Solanum lycopersicum: one gene and its partners. The protein of the gene in region 3 binds, or shares a complex with, the protein of the main gene of each other region. Links are inferred from orthologs where the notes say so. Each region holds a gene or a part of one and is shown on either strand. Other genes may lie near its edges.

Region 1 (5,250 bases), on a different chromosome or scaffold from region 3:
TCAACAAGCTTTCTTGCATGCTCCTTAAGCATCTCATGTGCAAGCTGCAAACAGAAAGAAATGGACATGATTGTGCATATATTTGATGACAGAATACATGGACAAAGTAAATTCAATCATGAATATTGTGCAACAAATTCATAGCAATCTTATCTCCTTTTTCGAGGAGAAAAAGGTATTTCTACAGGGATATGAAGCAGAATTATGATAATTTTTTTAGGCACTACCTCATCGGACAATCGATATGCAAGCTGTGCTTCTCTCAAACTGATCAGCTGGTTCACATCAATATCTGGAACAGGTAAAGTAATTAAATTAACCATGCAAAACCACTGAAGTGCAGTGCAGGAATTAAATCATGAAAAGAAACAAGTGATATCACCCTGACACCGCCACAAGTCCATAACATAGAATTTCAAGGTAGATGCTACTAAGAGTGGAGTTCGTGAAGATAATGAAAGAATTAGCATTTTCCATATAAGATTGGTGGAATCATACAAAGACTCCCTCTACTCTAAGCAATAACGAGATGTCCAGATTCAAGAGCTATCGTCAGAAGGCTCTCAAAACCCATAAACCAATAGGATATATCACTAAAATGCAAAGAAATTTGAAGCGACAGAAAGACTTCAAAAAAGTCTCTACTCAGTGCATGAATAGAACATACTAAACCCATGCCACATATGTGGAGCCTCATGGTATGATTCATCTTTGTTCAGGATTAAGCACCACATACCACAAAAAAGCCAAATTTAAGCACATATACAGATTTATTAGAATCAGTTTAATAGAGATCGAAAATTTTAGAAAACATACCCAAGAATATCGACAAGTAGTTTGGAAGAGCATTAGTTTAATTAGGTATGCAAAAGAAAACTAGTAAAATGGTTTCCTATGAATAGGTTACGTTAGAAGTAAAAGTGCCTTCAAAGGCATCAATAGAGAAAACTTACCTCGCCCAACAGACTTAAGCTTGGAGGCATACAACCGTTGTGCATTGTCCCTGACAGCAACATCAACCTAATGGCAAAAATGTTAAAACGAGTAAAAGGACACAGGGGGTCGCACTATATAGAAATCTAATATTACATAAATGAAGGGGGCAGGGAAAGAGACAAATGACAGGAACCTCAAATCAAAATACAGAAATGTTAAAACCACACAAGCAGGACATGCCACTGCACAATCTGAATACTCCACAAAGAGGGAGAGAGTGATAAATAATCCGCTACCTGGGCATCAGTAACCTTGAAAACACGTTTCCAAGGTAAAAGGAAAGCAGATGATTCTCCAAATACAAGAGTTGAGACATATATCAACTTCTGAAATGCCTGGAGAAGTCAAAAATGATCAAGTTCCATTTGTTGTTATTCGATAACTTAAGGCAGTAGTCTTTGGAAACTGAAGCTTTTTGAAGAGATGACCCACCCGACGTTGCTCCATATCTCCATCACGATCTCCCGTTTCAAGTCTTTGCCTGAAGATTCGCCTACCAATCTGAGAGATCAACATGTAAGAGTTTCTTAATACTTGGTAAATTATTTGATAACATAACATTTTAACTTTGAGCCAACCACAGCTAGAAGTTTTACAACTCTTAGGTACAGAATCAGATGGATACTTCAAGTTACCTCCATATGCATATCTGCTGCATCTGGATCATCAATTCCCAATGCATTTTTAAATTTGATTATTGTATCAACTTCATCGCCTCTAAGTTCTTCAGTACTAGCAGGAAGGACAGCAGATATATACCTGAACACAAACAAAATTGGATGCATATGTGACGGTAGATAAGCTGACAATGTTTAAACTACCAAGTTAGTCATTCCTTGTCATTGGTAGATAAAATAGTCAAAAACATTCAAATTTCAAGATAAACATTATAAATGGATCAGAGAAACACTATGCTTGATTCCCTTTAGGTGTCCAAGACAAGTATCACAACAGGATGGACAGTTTTCCATTCAAATGTAACTGGGTCAATATGTCAAGACAAGGTTAGAAAATTTGACACTTTCTGGGTCATAAAGAACTAAAATATTATAGAAAACTAGAAAAGTATGTGGAAGAAGTTGTAATTCCAGAAAGGTGACAGTATTTTCCTTCTTTTTTTGATTTGCAAAACTTGACACACTTTGGGACACATCTTGGGAATGGAAGAACAATAAATTTATTCTACAAAGTGCAAAAGCCATACTTTATCCTACAAAGTGCTTCAAAGGGTAAAATTTAGTTATTTATATCCAAGCAAGCAATTCATAAAAAGAAAAATTTGTCATTCGAGAGTCAGGGAGAAGAAACCAAAAATGAAAAAAAAGAGATTATCATATAACATTGAAAAATTGTAATAAATGCAAGTTTCGTGTCAGCCGTAAGAGTTTTTAAGAAATCAGTACTTGATTTTGCACTCACCGGCAATATATATCTCGCAGCTCCGCATTGAATGCCTCATTCTGTTTGCTGACACCATACCTTAAAGATAAAAAGCAGTAAATTGGTAAGGAAAAGACGTAGAAAAATAAGTATGAGAAAGTTGGGTGTGAGAGCTCATAATGTAGCTAAATAGTCCAAGATTCTGCAGTAGAGAATAACTTGCTCACACTTGGTATCTAATTTAATTAGTCACTGATAACACATATATATATTTTTTTTTTAAAAAAAAAAAAGCCAAATGTGCATAGTGGACAAACTTATTGGCAATTGATTCAATATCTTCCTTGTTCAAGGCAGCAGGGTTGTCAAAATCAGCGACATAGTTATGCAAATTAATAGCAGCAACTTGAGGAGCGCAAGAATTCAATGCATAAGCAGCGCCGGCACCAGCAGCACCAAAAGCAATAGCACCACCAAGCCCAGCATTCCGGGATCCACCAAAACGAAGACCAAGACCGTATCCAGCAGCAATAGCAGCAGCAAATATCAAAGCGGAGCTGGCTATTCTTATGGGGGGTGACATGGCATCAACAAGGGATTGAATAGGAGAAAGTTCCTTTTTACCTCCAAAGACATCTGGGTTGACGGAAGTAGGTTTGTGCTGAAGAGAGGCAGATGAAGATGAAATGACGGTGGACTGAATGCGGCGTTTTAGGTAGAATTTAGGGGTAAGACGGAGAGGTGTAGGATTGAGAAATTGAGAGCGGAAAGTGTTGACAGGAGGAGGTTGATTGATAGGGAGGAGAAGTGATGATGGGTTCATATCTACTACCTCTTCTAATAACTAGTTGATGTTCAAGTAGGGTTTAACCAAGTCGTCCGGAGTTTGGAACTAGGAAGAAGAAGAAGAGGATAGGGGTCTGAGGGGGTACAAGTTGAATAATAAAGGTTTGTTTGTTTTTTTGGAATAACATAGGTTTATTATCTTGTAATTGGGTCAACATAATATTATTTGTCATTTGCCGCATTTCAACACCAATGAATTGTTATATTTGTAAATCGATAAACGATATTAAAATTGTATAAACCAAAGTAGTTTACACATAAAAATATGTTTTTGGCCAAAAACTCGTTATATGTATGTAGTTTTATAAATTAATCAACAAAATAATAAGAAAATATATATATCAACAAATAATACATACAACTAAGATCAAAAATGTCATGTGATGATATATTTGTTTTTTCAATTAGTAAATGTTAAACAACTAACATTTTTAAATATTGCATTGACTTGTATTGAATTTATTTAGTAACAAACAACTCTTTCTAAATAAATTAAATTTATAAGCTAATTTAATTAAATAAAATTATGAGTACACATATAAAAGAAAAATCAAGAAAATAAATAAAATTGTCACGATGCAAAGTATCCCTAGGCGCGACATGGCGAATGAAACACCAAGAGGCTATAAACAAATTAAACTACTTGACATGAGTATGACATAATAAAGACAATCCAAAAGATATAATCAATATAAGTTGTAAATCTACCAATGGCATAAAAGATACCAACATAGTACATAAGGGAATACATGGAACATTGTCTATGTTTGACAAGTCCTCTATTAATCATAATGTGACTAGAACATGAACTTCTACGCCACGAATAATATCTAAAAATTGAAAAGATTAGAAACGATAAAGCCAGTGATGACCTAGCCCTCGAACTATGAAGAGTCACTAATCAATAGTAGCAGCAGTTGACTGATAACGCTCAAATCACTATCAGTAAAACTTAGCGAAAAGTACGGATAGAATCCCACATGGAATGATATATAGTGGAGAATTCCTTATCAAGAAATTTGGAGTTTAATTTAACACATTTGTAATAGTAAGAACAATAGGGTGGATAATACAATCAACTTAATATAAAGCTTAGGTTATCAATTATTGAAATTGAACTAAAATATAGATGAATCCAAGAGTTAACAAGCAATGTAGGGATGCGGGGATTGGAATGGGTGATTGTGCTGCTTTATAGAGATGAAAATTCATGAATATGCTAAGTCATCTTCATTGACGTTAATTATCTTTGATCTCAAAGCATCTATGCATAGAATCTTCTTTCGGACTCATCTAAATGTCAATTTAAACAACTCAATACCCTACTCTATTCTTTCTTTCAAGAACAAAGAAATAGATCCAACTCATAACCTTTTTTCAAGCAAGTTACAAACATCAAACCTAAATTGCTAGTATTAAACTAATTACCCACTTCAATCTCTTTCGAGCATCAACCAGAGATCAGATGTAGGAATTAAGTTTGCAGCCTTAACCTTCAAGTTAAACCTATGGTAATTAGATCAAATTCTTGTATGAACAACAACAAAACAGAGCATAAAACAATACTCTGCACATTAAATCAACACTCAACTCCATTTGAGCACTCCTAGATCTTGGGGTTTTGACCAATCATCACAAAATATAAAGAATGTATGCATTCCATGAAAGCAGTCATGGATAACTTGAAATTAAGCAATTAAGAGTAAACTCACTTTAGGTTCAACTTCAATTTATCAACATTAAGCACCAAGTTGTAAAACCTCCAAAACTAGAAAAGTGTTCTTTAAAGGTAAAGTGTTCTCAAACTCTCAACCTTATTTTCCAAAGAGAACTTTTGGAACTCAAAACGAAACTCTATGTATCATTTGGCTATTTATACTGTAACAACCCTAAAAATGTATAAGATAAGTAATGCATAATGTGTCTAGAATTTCTACGATTAGATCGGATTCACACGGATTGATGCGCGTAGAACCAGGCCTCTGAACCCTTGCAACAGACAAGACAAATAAATTGGGGATTTAGTTG
Region 2 (3,808 bases), on a different chromosome or scaffold from region 3:
ATGAAAGATTATTCGTTGATGCCCACACTGAAGCACTATTCTTGTATGGTTGATCTTCTTGGTCGTTCTGGTAATCTGGATGACGCTGAAACTTTGGTTTTGTCCATGCCAATAGCTCGAGATGCAGCTATCTGGGGTTCTTTACTAAGTTCTTGTAAACTTCACAGTCAGGTTGAGAAGGGTATAAGAATCGCAAAACATGCTATTGAGTCTGATCCGGAAAATGATGGGTACTACATCTCAATCTCAGACCTATATAGTTGTGTAGGAATGTGGGAAGAGGTAGAAATGGTGAGGAAAATAATGAAAGACAGGAAAGTGAGGAAAGAAGTTGGCTGGAGTACTGTATAGTTTACGCAGCGACTTGTTGGGAGTCTATTAGCAACTCAAGTTATGGTAGTTCTAATGTGATGAAGATTTGGCGCGATTAAAGGTTTTACACTTGCAAGAGTCGTTCAATTAGAGCTCCCTAATTTGCTTCACCAGAAGAATGAATGATCCTATGGTTACATTGAGATGGTTTTCAGGTTATGAAGCCCTATCGTTTTTCTGGTCAATGATAGTATTCTGGTTTTGGCCTTGCATGATGAACAAAATGTAGTTTTATTATTCTTTGTTGAAGTTCAACCCTTTAACAATGTAACTTACGACAACAGAAACAACATAGTCAGCGTAATCCCACAAGTGGGATCTGAGGAGGACAATGTATGATATGCATGTAGACCAAACCTTGAAAAGTGTTGATATAAGCAAAGGAATTATATTCTCTATTCAACAAAAGCCATTGATATTCCTTAGAGATCGTTTGATAGCTGATAAAGAAACAATGTATTATTGAAAACCCATTATTACTAGTACATTTACGAGTTGTTCGGTGTGAAGTATAACGTGTAATGATTCCATTACAAAATCAAGATATTATTATTTATCCCAAGAAGTTACTTTATCAAGATTTGAACTTTACGAGCCCTTTCCATTGCATCTCTCATGGAGAAACATCTCATCGACGATTCGATTTAAAATATCATACATTAAAATTACAATTCTATGCAACAAAAACCTTCCTTTCATTAGAGAAAACCACAAAACAACATATTAAATAAATTTTAAAAAGAACTACATTTGCCTATTAGCAGCTTCAGTAACAAAAGGCAAATAAGGAGTTTTTCCAAGTATAGAAGAAACAAGCCCATAAATAAAACAGCCCACAACAAACACAAAAAGCCCATTATGCATCCAAACCGTAAATTTCAGCCCAATACCCGATTGACCCGGTGAAAATATCCTCTGAATCAACATCGGAAGCACCAGTAGAACGTCGAGCACCACCGCTTGCAGGGCGTTGAACCGGGGGTACTTGTTCAGATTCTCGTTCCGAACAATACCTAAGTAGAGTGCAAAGAAAGTGACAAAGCTAGCGTATGGGAGGGACCGGTAGAGTGATAGAAGAGGGAGAATTGGTTGAAATGGAAGAGCTAGGGTTGGGTATTGAGCGAAGAGGAAACGGCCGTATTGAAGGCCGTTGAAGAAGGGGAGAAAGTAAGCGACGGCGGAGATAAGGCGGTCGGTGGCGGGGATTGGGTTGTAAGAGGCGGAGATGGAAGTGGTGGGTTTGGTATGGATACGGGTTCGGGTTTGAATACGGGTTTGGAGTAAATTGAGGCTGAGAGGGTGGGGGAGAAGACGAGGGGTAGTAGTGGGAGTGAAACGGAGAAGAGGAATGGAAGCCATTTTTAGGGGAAATGTGAGGTTTTTTTTGGGTGTTTATAAAGATGGATTTTTGTTGTTTGAGGTACAAGTTGTAATGCATTATTTTGATTAAAAAATTAGAAAAAAAATAATTTCCGTTGCCGGGACTTGAACCCGGGTCTCTCGGGTGAGAGCCGAGTATCCTAACCAACTAGACTACAACGGATTATTGATTGATCAACGAGTAATTTTCAATATAGCTCGTTGTGCGTCGCCACCTCTCAAATATCATATAGGTTCAATTAAGATTGTGTGAAGTTCTTTGTCAGTTGGTTGTTATGTTATGTGTTGCCACCTCTCATCTGTACATTCGATTAAAGTTGTTGTGAAGTTCAGGATTAATCAATTGATTGTTGTGTGTTGCCATCTCTAACTTATCGTACACATTTAAGTTATAGTTGAGGTACATAGGGTCTTATCGTCTATCCGTTCAGTTAGGGCTACATATCGAACACTTCGGCTTTGAAGTTTATCGATTTGACTTATTAGTTATCGATTTGTAGATATGCTAAACGGTTGTAGAACCATTAAGATTAGCTTATCAGTTATTGATCGTTCGGTTCGATAATTTATTTAACCGTTAAGTTTGACAAAAAAACACATTGAAAATCACTTTAGAACAAGGTGGCAAACCAATTTAACCATGCACATGAATTCACAAGTTTCATCTTGCTCAAAAGCAAACACTTTTACATCGTAGAATAACCAAGTGTTTGAGACAATCAGAAACAAAAGTAGGAAACCAAACTCTAAATTAAGGACTTTATAAGCAAAATGATATGAATATAATTATTTAATTAACCATCGGATTATCAGTTATCCAGTTAAGAGATAACCTCAAAAGATAACCCGATAACAAAAAAAAAATCAAAGCCGTTCTCAAAACCGCTAAACCAATAACTTTTTTTCGATACGGAATATCGGTTCCGATCAATTTTGAACAACCCTACATTCGCTACACCGCATCTTTGCAGAGAACTCAGTTTCACTAAGTTCATGTCAAAGAGAAAGGGACCATCGCTACATTATTCCGAGTAGCTCATTATTTATGAGACAAAAATAAGATTTTGAGGAGGATGGTGTATACACAACCTTGCCCGTACCTTGCGAAGAAAGTTTGAAGCATGTCGTCACAAAATGAGAGCAAAAACAACACTGTGGAAATTCCAAATCTACTACAATGCAACTTGAAGTGACTATTCTCACATGAAAACATTTGGGTGGCAGTATACAAAACTGTAGTCAGGACTAGCTTACACTATATTGCCATAATGTAGGTCAATAATTTGAAAAAAGATATATCAACATATCTCAATATACTTTTTCCAGTTTCACTTCCTATATTCGCTGGCCTTTATCGATGAGGCAACTTCTCGGAAGATCCAAAAGCCACAATCTTTGAGTAACAAATGCCTGAAGGAAGATGTTTTGTAGTGTGAAAGATCGACTGTGATCTCTAGAAGTCATTTGCCCGCCTCCTTAACTCGTTCAATTCTTTTTCAATCTCTGAATCTTGAAATTGTAATGGCGAGCTTGATCTGGTAACTGGTGTTCTCCCCGGTGGAAGATCCCCTTTCTGCTTAGTCAATAAAAGGAAAACATTAAACCAAAATACCTCAGCTCTACATCAACAATAAAGCAGATTATGTTGTTTCTTTTCCTGATAGTTGAGAAAATTCTCCGCGGGCCAATTGAGGCACGGCTTGTGATGTGCCCCTAGCTCACACATTACGTACTACGCTCTTACCACTGGACCAAAGCCTTGGCGGTGGGGGGGGGGGGGGGCACAATAGAGCTAATTATGCGTCCTCAAGTACCTCCCGCACCCTCTCAAGTTGACCAAATATGCACGCTAATTTTCGGTTTTTTCCAAGTAAAAAATAAGAGATTTGCCAAAGCAAGGAAGCAACAAGCAACATGACCTATAATCATCATAGGTACGTAAAATGTCATGTTAGACTTTCTTTCTTTTAAGGTTGTTCGGACTTCCTTTCTTAATTCGTCGTTGAAGGACACCTTCAAGTTCTTATGAACATCCAAACCAAGCTGCTTTTATGGA
Region 3 (5,338 bases):
TGGTAAAGACATGAGTTGACAATCCGAGTCAAGTATAAAAATCTCACAGTATGTGAATACTTTTTAGAAAAGATCCAAAGAAAATTGAAAAAACTTAAAAATATGAAAACACCTCGAGGTTGTAAAATTTGATTGTTATTGATTTAGTTTGTATTTGAAAATTTTGAATCAATTTAGACTATGTACATGAGCTCTATATATGCAAACCTATGTACTAAGGGGTCGTTTGGTTGGAAGACAAGTTATGGTACAATTAGATATATTAGGAGTACGAAAAATTAATGAATTGAATAATTTTGCACAATACATAAATATGTCCTTTAATTTGGCTTCAAATCACATTTATGTCTTTCAACTTTGGGTGTGCACAAGTAGACACTTAAACTTATATAAAGTTGAACAAATAGACACACATGTCCTACATGTCATTTTTTGTCCAACGTGGTGTCCTACATGTATTTTGCCATGTAGGACTCATGTGTTTTAAAAAAATTTGATAGTTAAAGTGTATGTTTGTGCATAATGAAAGTTGAAGGTCAAAGTTAAAATTTGAAGCCAAGTTTAGAATCCAATGTATGTATTATGCCAATAATATTTAAAGAATAATTTGTTTGTTTACAAAAATACCCTCCATCATTTAAAATAGAAAATAGTTTGAAGAACATCTATTATTCCACTCTCGAAATAACTTTTCATGATACTATTAATTATTATTATTCTTGCTATTATAATCAAATAATGGATAAGAATAATTAAACGATCTCTAATGATCGTTTTGGTAGTTGGTTAGAGTTATGCATTGATATCTATTAGTAATGTAGTGATTATTTATGAATTAGTCGATCCATTATTTTATGCAGATATGAGTTATTCGTGTATTAGTTATCCATAAGACATACATTAGATTATTAGAATTAATTATTCCACTTTCTATTATGCATTAAATAATAAATAGATTTCATCATAAGTTATACATGTATTAATTGTGCAGATTTCTTAACTGTCAACTAAACATTGTATTAATTTTGTACATGTATAATTTATTTTCTATGATTTTATCCACCTACTAAACATGTATAAGTTGTACAAAAATTAATATGAGTAACTTGTTTCTCATCCAGCTTCCAATCACTTATATACATGTAATTATTTTCATTATTTGTGTCTATGTAAACATAATTTGACATGAGATTGAAGTCTCAGTCTAATAGTTACAAGTAACAACTTTAACTTGCATGTAAATGCCAAGTCTAAAAACAATATGCGTACGAATATATGTTTTTCAGGTCATTAGAAACTTTTTATGTACTATCGAACAATAATTTGGTGAATATAAAATGGAGGTTATTTGAGTTAATAAGCTTTGATTATTTTTTTATTGTTGCATCTTTGTGGTTTATACTAGGTCTTACTCCAACTAAATAACTTATGAAACAATGCAGATAAGAAATTAATTGTGTCAACTTTGTACTATACAAGTTACATGAAAATTAATTGAGAAGTCATCCCTATATTTAATTACTTTATGGAGAATCGAAAAGGATCAAATTTGTTTTTGAACTATGCAATTAAAACAAATTTGTCATTCATTACTATGAAGGTCAAATATGTCCTTGTCGTTACTAAAATGGGCTAAATTTGCCCTCGTTACCCCTCCTATTCTATTTTACAAGCACGTAGTAATAAACAAAGATCTCAAAAGTTTATTTTTTAATGAAAAAACACCACACTTGGCTTCAAGTTGCTTGATCTTGCATTTGATGTTTGTGAACAAAACGACCAGATATGTTCAAATTTGACCTCAATTGGCAAGTTAACACTTTAACTTTGAGTATGCACATCTAGATACTTCGACTCATCTTTAGCGTCCAGCTTTGTAAGTAATCATCTAGACACCTCTAAAATTTACATGTCACATCAGCATCAAGTGTCCACGGAAAATAGAGGGGTTGTTAGTTGAGATCAAATTGAGTTCAATAGATATTTTTACTTAATAGTTGAGATCAAGTTTGAGTGTGCCTATTTATATCTTATGCCGATATTCTTTATATAATATTTGTATATAAACTAGACAAACGAGACTATTATATATTGTGATTTGTGATGGATGGGCCTTTAGTAGATGGATTAGTAATAATAATAATTGGACCTAATGTGAACCGAAAGCCCAAACTTGAAATACGAAAGCCTTCTTCTCCGAATCCTCTTCCCCTTTCTCTGTAAACAATCAATGGAGTCCAAACCCTCAAGCGGATTCGGACCCTCCAGTAGTCCTCTACTGTCTCTCTCCACCTTCGTCCACCAGCACTGCTCCCGACTCGGTGCTGAACTCGCTAACCGATTCGACGAAGCGAAACGGCTGAGTTCTAAAATCGCCGCCGATTTTATGCAGCAGCCGCTGCCAGCGGCGATAGGGAGGAGTTGTTCGTTGCCGTTGCATTCTTATCATCTATCTCTTCCGTTCGCTTCGGTGTCGCAGCGTCAAGAGAAGGTCGCTAAAAATACCGGTTTGAGCTCGGATTATGTTGCTAAGACATTAACTGGAACTTCTGTATACACAGTTAGCAATTCTAACAATGAATTCGTGCTCATTTCGGACCCGAATAGTGCGAAGTCAATCGGATTATTGTGCTTCCGTCAAGAGGACGCCGAGGCATTTCTTGCTCAGGTGAACTTCATTTTTTAAAATGAATTTATCGAATTTTTTCTCTATAGAAGAGAGTGAAAGGAGAGATGAACTCCTTTATCAAAGTAGGGTAGCAGGAAGGGGAAAAGATATGTATAAATTAGCCCAAAAGAGAAAACTAAGTTAAAGATGATTGCTTTAAAAGAAATTATTGGGTAATTATCATTGGAACATTGCCTTCAAAGGTCAAATTATTTATTTTTGGGATGTATTGAACCTGAATATAGTGGAATTGATACATAAGATAGCAGATACAGAAGACATAATGTGGACCTTATTAGTTTGCAATTGAGGCGTTGTTATAGAAGTTTTGATATACATGGAAGGCTTGTTTGTGGAGAAATGAACACGTGAAGATTTTCAGGTACGGTTGCGGAAGAAGGAAGTGAGAGGTGGAGCTAAGGTAGTTCCGTTGACACTTGATCAGGTGAATTTTTGTTTCCTTTTGCTAGGAATTTTTCTTTTAAGGATGTATCTGCTTTGGTGATTATTTTCTTCTTTCCTTTTAAAAGTTTGTACATTCATTTGAAAAGAATTGCAAACTTTAGGAGTGACATTAGATTACTCTATGGAGAAGGCCATTTTCTTGTTTTAAGGATTGAACTTTAGCAAAATTTTAGTACCATGAAAGTGTCTGGTAATAGATATGGTATTTGTGATGGACAGTTTTGTCTCTAGTGCTTATCAAGATTGGTTGGTGGAAAGTCAGAAGCTACTGATGATCGACTTGTGTGTATATGTACAATCTATTTCTTTGCATATATTGATAACTTCTTCTTGCAAGAATGGGTATAAACTTTGATGGTTATTGAATCGTCCCTTATTAGTTAAAGAAGTGTTGGATTCAAATACAGCAGAATGGAGATACCGATCCTAACTTGTTTAGATTGACACATAGTTGATTGATTGAATCAAAACAGAGCATGCATGGTATTTAGCATAAGCAATGGAGTCTTTTCAAACGCACCCCTTGAGATAAGGCTCGATTAGATTACCTGACCATCTCAGGTTAAGATTAATTTACTGAGCCATTTTCCTTTACCATTCCTTTTAGTGATTTCTTCTCTTTTACATCATTAAGATAAATTGTATGCATTATTGATACATTTTGTATCTCTTGTTCATCCATAAAAAAGGGGATCCTATCGTGCTCCTTTTGAGCCTCAGACGTCTGATCTGTCCCGTTTAATATATCTTCTTCTGCTATTAAATTAAAAAGAAAAAATTGAAGCTTAACTTAAGAATGAAAGACATTTTTGTCTCTATTTAACAGGTCCAGTGTACATTAAATAATCTACTGCAACTAGTTGCAGTTGTCTGTATGTGCAAGAATTTCTGTTTTTTGCTTTTCCATTTCTTCCTAAAGGTGTTGCCAGGCACTTGTCCCGTATTTTGAATAGTTACACGTCTTTCTTGTTGGTATCACTTTGCAGGTTTACATGTTGAAGGTTGAAGGAATCGCATTTCGTTTTTTGCCAGATCCTGTTCAAATTAAGAATGCAATGGAGGTAGTTACCCATGTTGGTCATCCTTAAGTTTTGTGTCTGGGATCCTTGTAATTTCCACTGAATGTAGTAGAATTGCACAAGGACGCCTGTTCAGTTGTGCAAGTGAAAGTTATACTGTATATGTATATTCATCTACCTGTGATAGTTTTACGTGAAAGTACACTGGCATGTAGCTTTAACTAATGACCAGATTCCAGAGGTGGTAGAATTGCTTGCAACCCATCAATTTTTGAGGTCCACTGACATACCCTTGTTTTTTCTTCTCTTTACTGTTAATTCAAATATTTCCAAAATGGAGGTCTTTTCGAGATTTGAACTTGGGTTACTGACATGCCTGGTATGTAGGCTCTTGCTCACTAGTCTAGTAAATGAAGCATAGATTATTAATGGCTTGACCTCCATTGCCACCCAACTTCTGTCTCCTCCTCCTGGAAATATCTATTTGGCTAAACATAATATTTCAATGCATGCTTATTAAAAAAATCTGTTCATCTCAACATTGTCTTTTCCTGTGACAGTTAAAAGCTTCTGATGTAAAGACTGGATTTGATGGAGTCCCTGTTTTCCAGGTAGCATATAAACTTTTTTGCCAACTGTATGCAAAAAAACTCTAACATTACATGCTCAGCCTGTGTATTTTTTGAATTATGAGCCTTCACTCACTGGAAAGCTTTTGCTAAATATTTTGTATATCAGAGAGTGGACTGCTGAATATGGTTAAACTCCGCTTAATTCTGTAGCTTTTTGTTCTTGTGCAGTCAGATCTCCTAGTTGTGAAAAAGAGAAACAGACGATACTGTCCAATATACTTTCGAAAGGTATGTTGGTTTTTAATATCTTGAACTGGAACTAGTCAGAAGAAACAAAAAATTAGATATAGTTATTATTCGTGATGGTTTTCATTGAATTCCTTTTCGGGTATACAGGAGGATATAGAAAAGGAGTTATCATCAAGGGCATTGAGAGGATCTAGTGTCTCTCAGCACATTATGGTATCATAATCACTTTTATCTTTCTGTTTTCTTTCTGATAGGGCGTGCAAATAGATTAAGAATGGTCAAACATGCTAAGAGGTGAATATATGATGTCTCTGAGAACTTACTTTTAGTAAGTGTTTTGGAGTAAATTTCATTCGCATTGATCT

Evidence for each region.
Region 1: protein TIC 22, chloroplastic (region 3) and protein TIC110, chloroplastic share a complex: the UniProt entries of both Arabidopsis thaliana proteins name them as parts of the tic complex. The link is inferred for Solanum lycopersicum from reciprocal best matches to the Arabidopsis thaliana genes Tic22-IV and TIC110.
Region 2: protein TIC 22, chloroplastic (region 3) and protein TIC 20-II, chloroplastic share a complex: the UniProt entries of both Arabidopsis thaliana proteins name them as parts of the tic complex. The link is inferred for Solanum lycopersicum from reciprocal best matches to the Arabidopsis thaliana genes Tic22-IV and Tic20-II.

Annotation. Positions count from the first base shown.
Region 1 is NC_090808.1:26,784,545-26,789,794, reverse strand, and holds the start of protein TIC110, chloroplastic, read right to left. Parts: upstream 3,344-5,250; 5' UTR 3,200-3,343; coding exon 2,694-3,199; intron 2,476-2,693; coding exon 2,416-2,475; intron 1,756-2,415; coding exon 1,632-1,755; intron 1,498-1,631; coding exon 1,429-1,497; intron 1,332-1,428; coding exon 1,233-1,331; intron 1,021-1,232; coding exon 954-1,020; intron 293-953; coding exon 228-292; intron 45-227; coding exon 1-44. UniProt on the Arabidopsis thaliana protein: Involved in protein precursor import into chloroplasts. Forms a voltage-dependent cation-selective channel at the inner envelope of chloroplasts, which specifically responds to a transit peptide.
Region 2 is NC_090810.1:3,715,340-3,719,147, forward strand, and holds protein TIC 20-II, chloroplastic, read right to left. Parts: upstream 1,769-3,808; 5' UTR 1,732-1,768; coding exon 1,117-1,731; 3' UTR 1,044-1,116; downstream 1-1,043. Other genes in the region: pentatricopeptide repeat-containing protein At4g39952, mitochondrial, read left to right, coding at 1-351; membrane-associated protein VIPP1, chloroplastic, read right to left, coding at 3,206-3,325. UniProt on the Arabidopsis thaliana protein: May be involved in protein precursor import into chloroplasts. Not redundant with TIC20-I, TIC20-IV or TIC20-V.
Region 3 is NC_090803.1:65,447,475-65,452,812, reverse strand, and holds the start of protein TIC 22, chloroplastic, read left to right. Parts: upstream 1-2,117; 5' UTR 2,118-2,230; coding exon 2,231-2,668; intron 2,669-3,050; coding exon 3,051-3,113; intron 3,114-4,119; coding exon 4,120-4,194; intron 4,195-4,712; coding exon 4,713-4,763; intron 4,764-4,952; coding exon 4,953-5,012; intron 5,013-5,120; coding exon 5,121-5,186; intron 5,187-5,338. UniProt on the Arabidopsis thaliana protein: Involved in protein precursor import into chloroplasts. Imported into the intermembrane space via the Toc translocon. May be involved in the import pathway used by proteins without a cleavable N-terminal pre-sequence.